Linked DNA regions of Caenorhabditis elegans. The protein of the gene in region 2 interacts with the protein of the main gene of each other region in a biochemical or structural test. Each region holds a gene or a part of one and is shown on either strand. Other genes may lie near its edges.

Region 1 (8,473 bases), on a different chromosome or scaffold from region 2:
GGATCTTACGATTGTTTCACGAAAAAGTCCTAAATCACTATGCAAGAGTACTCAGGAATTTCACTTCATTTAAAGGTATTAGTCGAGTCGATAATTTTTGTTGGAAACGCAAGATAATTAACTTGTATAGGTCAAAGTTAATTTCAAAGTTTAACTAATCTTAGGTAATCTTTGAACCGTCATAACTCTTTTTTAGAATCTAAATTCATTTATCGATTTTCATAATTACAATATACATACTCAAGTTAATATCATTAACAGCACAAAACGTGTCCATACTCGTCGCCCGATCATCCACATATCCATTTACACGATGATATGACGTGGCACTGACAAGCCATGTGCCACCGGAAGACGCGAAATTCGGGATTAGGGCGGTCTGGAATATATACTTTTGAGTGCAAATTTTGTCGGTGGTGGTGCTCACGGGCTTCTGGTCTTCCTCAATGCATTTTTGGCGTTAATCTACCACGACCATGGCCGAGCTCAAATGGCCTAGTTCGGCAGACTTTTACATTCAAAAATTCGTGGGAAGCCAGAAGCGCGTGGCTGCTCCAAACACTTTAATTTTAAAACTCTGTAATTTTTTTTCCGGTTTTTATTTTTTCGAATGTAAATGAAAAGATTCCAGAAAGTCGTTTTGAAATTATTGGAATTGGAACATTTGGTGATTTTAGTATAAACAACTAAATTAAAATCTATATTTTTATTTCATAAGCCTACGTCTAAGCTCAAGCCTAAACCTAAGCCTGATTCTAAGGCCAAGCCTAAGCCGACGCCTAATCCTAAGCTTAAACCTAAGCTTAAGCCTAACCCTACGGTTAAGCCTAAACTTAAGACTAATCCTAAGGATAAGTCTTAGCCTAATTGTAAGCCTAAGCCAAAGCTAATCCCGAAACTATGAAATTTTACACTGAAATTGTTAGGTTTAACACAAAAATTTGCGAGAACTCGAAAATTTGTAAGAAAATAGATAAGAAAATGTTTTTCGAATTTTTTCGGCGAAAAAAAAAGAAAAAAACTCACTTGAATAGCTGCCTGAACTTGATCAACGGCGATTGCCTTTGGATTTGTAATATTTTGCAATGCATTGAAGACTACTTGTCTTAAATCCTTATTTGTACAGAATAGAGCGTCGACTGAAAAAAAACTTTGAAAAGAATGTTTTTTCTCAGATTTTTTTTAGTTTCAAATCAAAAATAATTGTTTCCCAGTAAAAACTTACTATTCGGCAAAACTCCACGATCATCATTTCTAACAGGAAAACTGTGTGAAAACGCAAAAAATACGTGGAACAGAAGCAAAAATCGGCGCATTTTCCGGCAGGTGCATCTGGTGACACTGTGTCAGGTGCTCGAAGAGTCAATTAGACACCCCGATAAGAAACATTTTAATTATTCATTTTCTTCTGATAAGTGATAAGGAACATGGTGACGATTTTTCGAAAATCGGGGAGAATGCAAACGCGCTTCGTTGAGAATCCGGCGAAAAAATCTGGAAAAAATTGATATTTTCTGAAAAATTGGGATGTTACTGTGCATGTTTCCGAAAACCCCGATTTTTTGTGATGAAAATTACCAAAAATGTAGTTTTTTTTTTGAAAAGTTGACTGAAAATTCGAATTTTTCGTAAAAATTTCATCAAAAACCCAAATTGTGCAGCAAAAAAATTTGTGGCCTAACTTTTTGTTTAGGTGGCCTAGGATTTTTTTGTTGACAAATGCGAGAAAATGCGAAAAATTACCAGAATATTTGAATTTCACGTGAAAATTTTATCATAAACCCCAAGTTTTGCATTTAAAAATTGGTGGCCTAACTTTTTTCTGGTGGCCTAGAAATTTTTACTGAAAAATTAGAAAAAACCGCAAAAAATTAGAAACAGTTAACTGAAAATTCGGATTTTTCGTTAAAATTTCATCAAAAACCTCAAGTCTTGCAACAAAAAATTGGTGGCCTAATTTTTTTGTGATGGCCTAGGAATATTTTGCTGCAAAAATGCGGGAAAACCGCGTGAAATTAGAAAAAGTTAATTGAAAATTTGAAATTTTCGTAAAAAACTTCATCAAAAACCTCAAGTTTTGCAAAAATTTGCAACAAAAAAATTGGTGGCCTAACTTTTCTTTAGGTGGCCTAGTGATTTTTTTGCTGAAAATTCAAATTTTTCGTAAAAAAATGACTGAAAATCCGCCAGGTTTTCACAAATTAGCAGATAAAACTGCGCTCTATTGCAATATTTATTCGAAAAAATTCGAAAATCATGTGATAGTTGCGAAATTCGAGCTGTTTTTGTTGCCTCATCACTTTTTTCTGTTTCTTTTCTCACCAAACTCTTATTCAAGAGTTTATGGGGCGAAAATCTGCAATTCTAGCTGTAATTCTTGCTATAATATATTTCAGAAGTAATTTCAGGTGACTTTACATTATTTAATATATTTTTTTGCAAAAAAATCGATCGATTTTCAGCGATTTTAAGTTTACCCCCTGAGAGAGTGTAGGAAAGTGAGAGACGGAGACAGAAAGCGCTACAACGACGCTCCGATATTGCGGGTTGCATGTTGTTTAGCGTATTTCAGCGGGTGTTTTAAATGAGGAAATATCGGTTTTTATCGGTTTTTTATTGGATTTTCGTCGATTTTTCTCATTTTTTAATTGTTTTTTTGCAGTAAAATGTCAAATACACCGGTGCAGGAGACTGAGGGACCGGTCTACGTGGCATATTCCATGGAAGATATGCTAAAATCGCCCAGAGACTTGTATAAGTGAGTTTTTACTCGATTTTTCGCTGAAAATTTCGATTTTTTTTACAGAAGCGTCAAGGAAGTGGCGAAATTCGTGAACTCGGCCGAAGGAAAAAGCATGTCGGCTCGTTTTAAGAAATTCGGAACGCCACGAGAAGCGATGGACTTTCTCGCGTACGGAGATGCGCCGACGACACCGAAAACCGTGCCGCCCGTCGCCCCAACTGAGCCAAATTCACCGTTTTCCGGTGTAAATCGCATTCAAATGAATGAATTCAAGAAATATGTGGAAAAAGGAGATATGGAGAATTTTTTGTAAGGATTGTGAAATTTTTGAAAAATTGGCGAAAAGTAGATATAATTCTCGATTTATTACAAAAAAAAATCCGGCACTGTTATAGTTTTTAGCTGAAAAAATTGAAAAATCTGTACAAAAAGATGGATATTTCCGCAGTTTTGCTGGAAAAAAGCCTTTTTCTCGAAATTTTCCCATAGAAGGTGGATTTTTCCCAAAAAAACCAGACTTTTTCGAGAAGTTATCGATTTTGATCCGAGTTTTCACCATAATTATCTATTTTTTCTATCATTTTCCTTTTTTTTTTCCTTGAATTTCTTTAAAAATTTATTTTCCCCCTAGTATCCTTTAAAAATTCGATTTTCACTCAAATTTTCACAAAAATTATCAATTTTTTGGAATTTTTATCAAAAACTAGATTTTTCCCGGATTTCCCCAAAAAAAAATCGATAGCTTATCAAATTTTTACCAAAAAAAAAATTTTTGGAATTTTTACCAAAAATTATCGAATTTTCCTAGAAAATCCCAAAAAAATGGGGTTTCCCGAATTTCCCCAAAAAAAAAAAGCGGACTTTTTTCCAAAATTTTTCACAAAAATATTGATTTTCACCCAAATTTTTGGAATTTTTACTAAATATCCCACAAAAATTAATTTTTTCGAATTTCCCCCTAAAAAATTATTTAAAAAACCGATTTTTTTCAAATTTCTCACAAAATGATTGATTTCTTACCAAATTTTCACCAAAAATAGATTTTTGGAATTTTTACTTAAAATAATCGTGTTTTTCCAAATTTCTCTTGAAAATCGATTTCCCCTAAAAAAATTACAAAAAAAAATCGATTTTTACTCGAATTTTCACCAAAACTTTCGATTTTTCGGAATTTCCAACAAAATTATCACTTTTCATGAATTTTTCTCAAATATCCTTCAAAAAATCGATTTTTCCCGAATTTTTACAAAAATGCCGATTTTCTGTAATTCCGGTCAGAAATTATCGATTTTTTTCAAATTTTCATTTGAAAAATCCAAAAAAAACCTTTTTTTTTTCTTAATTTCCACCAAAATCACTGCAACTTTTTCCTCACGAGGGACGAGGAAAAATGGTTTCTAGGCCATGGCCGAGAGGCCGACAAGTTTCAGCAAAAAAATTCGAGATTTTCGCACAAAAAGTTGAATTTTGAAAATCTCAAAACTTTTTCAGCGGTCTCGTTATGAAAATCAGGTAGTCTCAGCATTTAAGCATCATATGTATCATGTTTCAGAAAAAGTTTAGGTTTTGTATTCCCGTAATCCATCATTTTACATTGACCACTTTCACCGCTGCTTGCCCACTGAATACATGATTTTTTTACTTGGAAATTGTTTTAGCATCTGCAAAAAATATTTATTCATCAGTTTTATTAAGAAAAAACGAAAAAAATCGATGAAAAACGAAAGAAAACAGGCGGAAAACAAAGCAAGATAAATGGCCGCTGAAACTTGTCGGCCTCTCGGCCATGGCCTAGAAACCATTTTTCCTCGTCCCTCGTGAGGAAAAAGTTGCAGTGAAAATTATCGATTTTCTTGCAGACGCCTCGTCGATTCGAATCCACGTTTTCTCGTGAATACCGGTGGTGACGTGGCATCAATTGTGATGGAAGGATTCCGTTATAATGCTCTACACATTGCCGCCAAAGCCGGCCAAACGGAAATAATCGCAAAAATTCTGGAACTCATTCAAAATATCGATTTTCTGATTCGCCTGTACGGCACCGGCGCCGATGACGTCACGCTACGAAAAATCAATATTCTGGATTCATATTTAAATACGCCGGACAAAGGAAACTCGGATACCCCACTACATTTTGCTTCGAAATTCGGAAAAATCGGCGTTGTTCGAGTTTTGACTGAAAATTCCGCGACGGATAGGACACTGCTCAACAAATCCGGAAAAAGCGCGTTGGATTGTGCCGGCGAACGATATACGGGAGAGGATAAGGATATGGTGCAACGGGATATTCATTTGGCTATTGAGGTGCGGGAAATTACCAATTTTCCGCGATAAAAATTGAGAAAAAACGGGAAAAATTGCGGAAAAATCGATTTTTTCGTTTAAATTTTATCAAAAACTCCAATTTTTGCAACAAAAAAAAATTGGTGGCCTAGAATTTTTCACTGAAAAATGACAAAAACAGCGAAAAATTACCGAAAAATTCGAATTTTTGTAACAAAAAAAAATGGTGGCCTAACTTTTTCTTCAGGAGGCCTAGGAATTTTATGGGAAGAAATTGCGGAAAATTCGATATTTTCGTAAAATTATGACTAAAAACCGCCAATTTAGTTAGAACATAAGATTATGGCCTAACTTTTTTCTGGTGGCCTAGGTTTCTTTTTGCTGTAAAAATGCGGGAAATTACGAATTTTCCTGAAAAATTTGAGAAAAAAGGAGAAAAAACCCAATTTTTTTGTGGTGAAAATAGCCAAAAATGCAATTTTTTTTCTGAAAATTGTGAAAAATCAAGTTTTCTAGCCTGATCCTGCAAAAAACCACCGGAAAAATCCAATTTTTTTTCGTTAAAATTTCTAAGATTTGAGCAACAAAAATTGGTGGCCTAGGTTTTTTTACTGCAAAAAAATCGAAAAAAAACTCGAAAAATTACCGGAAAATTAGAATTTTTCGTTAAAATTCAATAAAAACCCCTATTTTTGCAACAAAATTGGTGGCCTAACTTTTTTTCTGATGACCTAGAAAAGATTTCCGTATTTCTAGGCCACCTGAATATCAAGTTAGGTCATTAATGTTTTGCGCAAAAATAAAGATATTCCATTTTCGCAATATTTTTCATCCAAAAAATGGAACTTTTGGATTTTCAAAATTTCTAGGCCACCTGAACAAAAAGTTAGGCCACCAATTAATTTTTTGCGCTAAAGAGAATTCAGAAATTCCCAATTTTCCAGTATTTTTTATTAAGAAAATGGAACTTTCTAGATTTTCAAAGTTTCTAGGCCACCAATTTTTGGGTGCAAAAAAATCGGAAAAAAAAGTTGGTGGGCTAAGTATTTCTATGATGGCCTAGGAAACTCCAGGAAAAAAGTTAGGCCGCCAATGTTTTTTTCCGAAAAAAAGTCAGAAATTGCGAGTCTTGCAGTATTTTGTCTACAAAATTTTTTGTGTTTTAAAAATTTCTAGGCCACTAAAATACAGAAAGTTAGGCCACCAATCTTTTTGCGCCAAAAATTCAAAGAAAACACCTTTTTTTGAGAAAAAAAATTGATGGCCTAACTTTTCCTACATGGCCTGCGAAAAAGTTAGGTCATTATTTTTTTTAATGCGAAAAAAAAACTTTAAATCAATTTTTTTCAGGGTTTCTACGTATTTCTGCACCGAAATCCAACAACCGGCTCCACACAGCTTACAGTATCCCAGAAGCCGCCGGCTACCTACAGTACCTCGCCGACCACAGCTACAGTAACCGTGTCAGCACAGGCGGGACCATTTTTCACGGAGCGAGAAGCTCGAGATTTCGCAAAAAGCTGGCAAACCGCGGGAAAAGAGCTGAAACGAACGGATTTCGATAAAGGATGGGAACGTGTCGGCCGTGTGCTCGCCGAGCAATCAGAAGCCATGTGGCGAGAGACTTGGCACTTCTTGGGCTCTATGGAGCTTCTCGATTTGGGCTCCGAGCAGGGACTGGGCGTGCTGGAAGCGTTTTTACGCGAAAAACGGCGAGGAAATCTGAGAAATTCTGAGATTTCCGAAATTTCCACGAAAAAATCGATATTTCGACGAGGAATTCACGCTAGAAAGTTGGATTTTGGAATTTTGGATGGAGAAAAATCGGCGGAAATATCTGAAAATTTAACCCCAGACGGATCCGATTCCGCTGACGACGAAGACGACGATGACATATTCTACGACACATTCTCTGAAATTCCGGCCGCCGCTGAAAAATCGATAAACGATCCGGACGACACGCTCGGAAGTCTCACCGATCGATTTGCGGCGATTTCGATTTTTTCGCCGTTGCCGCCGCCGCCGCCGCCGCAATGGTCAAATTCGCCGAATTTTGATTATTCTGAAGGCGAGGATTCGTTTGCGACGCCGCCGACAACGCCGCCGCCGACTTTTGTGGCAGATGATGAGCCATGCAAGGTTCGAAATGGGAAAAATCGATAAAAATTGATAATTTTAGTGGAAAATCGTTAAAAATCGTGTATAAGCGAGTGGAAATTGTTTAAAATTCAAAAATTTTGGGCAAAAGTCGATAACTTCAGTGGAAATTTTCTGAAAATCAATTTTTCCTAGAAAAATCGATAATTTTCGAGAAAAATCGACAAAAATACAAAAAAAAAATCAATTTTTGTTTAAAATTCTGAAATATCGATTTCCCTGAAAATTCAAGAAAAACTGAAAAAATCGATAATTCCTCAATAAAATCACATTTTTTCCAGATCGACAACGACTTATTCGAAGTTTTGGCTCAAATTTCATCTGAATTGATCTCCAAATTCCCGCTCACTCAAGACTACGTTCAGAAACTGGGAAAATTGACGGCTCATGACAGATCCACGTGGCGTCCGATCGATTCGCCGGCCCGATGCGATTCCAGGCGAAAAATTTAATAATTTTAATAGTTTTACGACATTTCCCACACTTTTTTTAATCATTTTTCCACTGAAACATATCTGAAAATCGATCTTTTTTTTTTTAATTTATTAAAAATTCTTGTAAATACCGAATGAAACTTTGACAACTTGAGATTAAAGTCTATCATTTTGCAGAAAAATCAATAATTTTCGCAGAAAAATCAATAATTTCCTAGAAAATCAATAATTGTGTAGAAAAATCGATAATTTGGAAGAAAATCAATAATTTTGCAGAAAAATCGATAATTTGGAAGAAAAATCAATAATTTTGCAGAAAAATCGATAATTTGGAAGAAAAATCAATAATTTTGCAGAAAAATCGATAATTTGGAAGAAAAATCAATAATTTTGCAGAAAAATCGATAATTTCCAAGAAAAATCAATAATTTCCTAGAAAAATCGATAGTTTTGCAGAAAAAATTGATTCGAAAATTCATTATTTAACTTCCTATCTCAAGGAGTTTACAGTTTCCAGCTGAAAAGAGAAGTTCAAAATTAAATTTTTCCAAAAAATCCAGAAAATGTTTATTTTCAATCGATAACTATGACAATAATTGCATAAATCAATAGAAAAGTGAGATAGGACAAGAAAATACAGAAAAGGGCCGCCCGTTTTCGATTTCCCAACATGGCGGTCGTGATTTGGCGTTGGATGGGCGTCTGAAAATTGGAAAATGAGATACTTTTGTTAAAAATCGATAATTTTTGTGATAAAATCAATCAATTTTTATGAAAATTGATAACATCCGGTAAAAATCAATAAGTTTGGTGAAAATCGATAATTTTCTGAAAATCAATAAAATTGCAAAAAAAA
Region 2 (3,783 bases):
TGTGATTCTCATCCACATCATTTTCGAATGTATTGAAATCTAATCCAGCATCGAAAAACGACTTTTGAGCTTCTTGAAGCAGGTTTTCCTCGGATGTAATTGTACCGTACGTTCTCCTGTAATATTTCAAAAATTTTCTAATATTTTCAGACGCAAAAATTCGATTTTTTGCCCCCAAAAATACAAATTAAGACAGTAATAGTAATAACCTCTTATTTTTCAAATATTCTCCCTCTTCTCCACCAACTTCACCAATTTCATCCATTGGATCAACTCCCTCTTCTATCTTTTCATCAGTCTGAAAGTAATTATTCTAAATTTAATTTTTTTCAGTTTTACAGACCGTTTCATCTTCATTCTCTACTTCTTGTCCACAAATATTTTCAGTTCCGTTTTTAGAAAATGATTTCGCTCTCATGAATGCCGACATTTCCACACGATTCTTGAGATATTTAATAAAACGAGAAAGTACTCCTTTTTGACTGTTGAGAAGTTGAAGCATATGTTGTAGCTTCACATTTGGAATTCTGTAAATGTTTGAATTATTTCGGAAAAAAAAAATCTGCTTACTTATTATCATAAACCTCTATAACATCGTTAATAAAGAGAACCAACTCGTTTTTCAGTATATTCACAACGAAATCTTCATTTTCAGAAAGTGGATTTTCGTCGTCTCCCGAAGTGAACATCAAACTCGTCACAACACTTCGAATCGATGGTTCAAGCTCATTTGAGTCATCTACTGAAAAAATAAATTCCGTGTGAATATTGTAACAAATCCGAAACTTTTTTGGAAACACACATTTGAAAATGTATTTTTCAGTATATTTTTTGAAAAAAAAAATTAATTTTTAACTTCGATAATTGTCGAATTGCCGCCAACCCGTGTAAAAATGCTCACATTTTATCTCCTGATCCAATGTTGGGCGAGCTTTTTCTGTGGTCTGTACCTTCTTTTTCACAGCCCTTTTCGGAGGCATCTGGAAATCACCATAGAATAGAAAATATTGTTTTTATTCCAAGTAAACTTTCGAACGACAACTTTCGTAATAAAAAACTTAGAAACACTCTTCAGGATCGTAGAAAATATTTTATTTGGAGGGAGAAAAATCGCAAAATTAAAGTCAAAAACAAAACAAGAACCGTAGTCCAAGACCACACGACAAGGGGGAAAACTTGGAAGTATGAGAAATATTTCAGAAACAGATTAATTTGAAATGGGGCATAGTCGCAAAGCGGAAAACGACTACACTGGAACAAATGGTGTTTTTCGAAGTGCAAATATGGCCATTGATGATTATAGAGGAGAATCAAATCGATGCTTAGCAGAAATATTGAGCAGTTTACATGAACTGATCTGCCCACTCGTTCAAACAATTGAACGCCGTCTTCGCGTGATTTGCAGTCACTCCAGCCGTCTCTTTCAGCCATTCGATAAACAAATCCTCGTCTTTCTTCAGAAGGAGATACTGTCCGAACAGTACGTAGGCCTGAAATTCAAATTTTAACATTGATCGAAAATTTGAGAAAAAAAAATCTACATACTTTATCGAAGCCTGCATCGGTGAGCTTGGTGCCATATGTTGGCCCGATCCCGGCGATGCATGTGACTTCTTTGTCGCCCATTGGCTCTCCGACGAACTCACGATGCTTAACAGAAGTCGACATGGTTTCTGAAACACAAAATAATTACATTCTTGAATTTGAAAATATTTTCGAAAATCGTAGTAAAAAGATAGTTGCGAAATAAAATAAAACTGGCAAGAATAGATAGGAAAATAGACAACGCTCCCTTTTAAACGAAACGCTTGGCGGCCACAGTTCAGCGGAGCGCGTTTGCATTCTGTCTGCGTCTCTCGATTTGCGCACTCTTTCACGAATACTTCTTTTTGACTGTAATTTTTTGGCATCTGCCTCTCCTCTAAAATAATCGATTCATTCGTATGTCGCTGACATTTATTATTCCCAAGAACTAAAAAGACGGGAAATTTAATCGATAATCTTTTCATATAAAATATTTTTTTCTTAACTTGTATAGAAATGTTGTGAAAATATTGGAAAACAAAATGAGCAATTATTGGTGATGACGTTTTCTGTATTCGAGAATCGCTGGATCTGGTGGTGATGCAAGGGCTGAGAATTTCGGTTGGGCAATTCTATGGCGGCAAGCGAATCTTCCGACTTCATCTGCAAGATTTTGTGGGCTATCTTCCTGCAAGACAATTTATATAAATTATTAATTGAGTATAACATTTACCTGAACACAATGTCCAACTTTTGGTAACACACAAGTCTGAAACTTTCCCTGCATTTGACCAATTGTGAGATCCCTGTCCAGCCGATCAACGCCCGCTAGAACAAGCATCTTCGGAACGGAACATCCCAAAAATTCTTTGGATAATCCTTCAAACCATCCTTTCCAGTACTGTTCTGTTGTTGTTAAATCAATTCGCCAAGTGTACTCGTGTTCCGATACTTCTCTAATTTGAGACGGCATTGAGACCCGTGCAGCTGTGGGATTCCTCGCTGTACCCGAAGAAAGGCACCAGTGAATGGCTTTTTCGATAGAAGGAAATGAAGAAGGCCTTGAATGTAAAAAATGAACCATTCCTCCAAGTGCTTCCATAGCGGAACCTTCGACAACATCAATGACAATGAGTGCAGCGACTTTTGAAGAAATCATCTTTGCATTCAATGTATGAATGGCCAATGCACCACCCATACTGTGTCCAACAATGCATACTGGTGAATCGTCTTCGCCGAAAATGTTCTTGAAGATTGCTCCAATATCTCTACAATATGTCGATAGAAGTTACAAAACTTATCAAAGCGAAACCTCACTTTATTTGGGTTTCTTTCGAAAGATCGTGCTCATCAGAACATTTAGTGTCGCCGTGTCCTCTTAAATCAGGTGCAACAACTCTGCATGATATTAAAGTTGCCAATTCTTTCTGAACAGAACCATTAATGACTGACACTAGAATAGAACAAAACATACCGCAAAACACGCCCATGTGAGGCCTGAATAACCTCCACCGTGAAGCAAATAGAAAATTGGACCTTCATTTCCCTTTATGTACACATTGAAAACATCTCCATCAATGTTTGCGTCCTTCTTTTCATCAAAAAAATCTGACCACGGTAGTTCAGACATTTCTCGTTTCTTTCCAGAAGTTGATGTGCTCGGAACTGGTGGTGGCCTTCCATGAGTGACCGCTTGACGAAGAAGATCATTTTGCTGAAATTGATATTTAATAAAACATCATCTTGTTAATTTTCACTATTAATGTACCCTGTGAGGAGTTGTGACATGTGACGTTTCCGATTGAAGATCCGGAAGAGTGTCTAATTTATCGTCGGACATGGTGATCTGTAAATTAATATATTTAAATATTTAAGACAATTAAATAGAAAGCTATATTTATTAAAATTGAGCCAAAAAAATAAAATTATTAAAAATCTCCGAAATGGCCTAGAAAATGCTGACATGCGTTTTCTAGGCCAACGCGCTCGTAGTACACGAGGACAAAAAGATTCGAAAATATTTTATCGAAAACTCCCTCGAAAATGTTTTTTCTGTGATTTTTCTCACTAATTTGTTGTTTTAATATAAATATTAATCTAATCGCAAGCTTTACATCAACTCTAGTGTGTTACAGGTTCACAATGACTGCGGATTCACTCCGCGAACGACTGAAAAGTCAAAATGCAGACTATTCATTACTCAACACATCACAGGCATCAAACCGGTCAGCATTTGAAGACAAAATGTCCCCAGTGTGC

Evidence for each region.
Region 1: of the proteins of baf-1 (region 2) and lem-4, one has a biochemical effect on the other in vitro, tested with the Caenorhabditis elegans proteins (one study listed by BioGRID).

The regions. Positions count from the first base shown.
Region 1 is NC_003282.8:848,568-857,040, reverse strand, and holds lem-4 (Ankyrin repeat and LEM domain-containing protein 2 homolog), read left to right. Parts: upstream 1-2,278; 5' UTR 2,279-2,343; coding exon 2,344-2,408; intron 2,409-2,662; coding exon 2,663-2,758; intron 2,759-2,806; coding exon 2,807-3,052; intron 3,053-4,602; coding exon 4,603-5,047; intron 5,048-6,376; coding exon 6,377-7,165; intron 7,166-7,464; coding exon 7,465-7,635; 3' UTR 7,636-7,772; downstream 7,773-8,473. Other genes in the region: Y55F3BR.11 (Ground-like domain-containing protein), read right to left, coding at 206-379, 1,027-1,139, 1,226-1,316; lgc-33 (Neurotransmitter-gated ion-channel ligand-binding domain-containing protein), read right to left, coding at 8,191-8,319. UniProt on the Caenorhabditis elegans protein: Involved in mitotic nuclear envelope reassembly by promoting dephosphorylation of baf-1 during mitotic exit.
Region 2 is NC_003281.10:9,465,354-9,469,136, reverse strand, and holds baf-1 (Barrier-to-autointegration factor 1), read right to left. Parts: upstream 1,674-3,783; 5' UTR 1,669-1,673; coding exon 1,546-1,668; intron 1,491-1,545; coding exon 1,344-1,490; 3' UTR 1,079-1,343; downstream 1-1,078. Other genes in the region: tag-342 (transcription initiation factor TFIID subunit 13 family protein), read right to left, coding at 1-116, 210-298, 344-527, 571-742, 902-980; B0464.9 (putative protein phosphatase methylesterase 1), read right to left, coding at 2,075-2,212, 2,258-2,792, 2,842-2,951, 2,999-3,238, 3,293-3,364; B0464.6 (uncharacterized protein), read left to right, coding at 3,667-3,783. UniProt on the Caenorhabditis elegans protein: DNA-binding protein which plays an essential role in nuclear envelope formation. Required for normal chromosome segregation during mitosis. Associates with the nuclear lamina via its interaction with LEM domain containing proteins emr-1 and lem-2.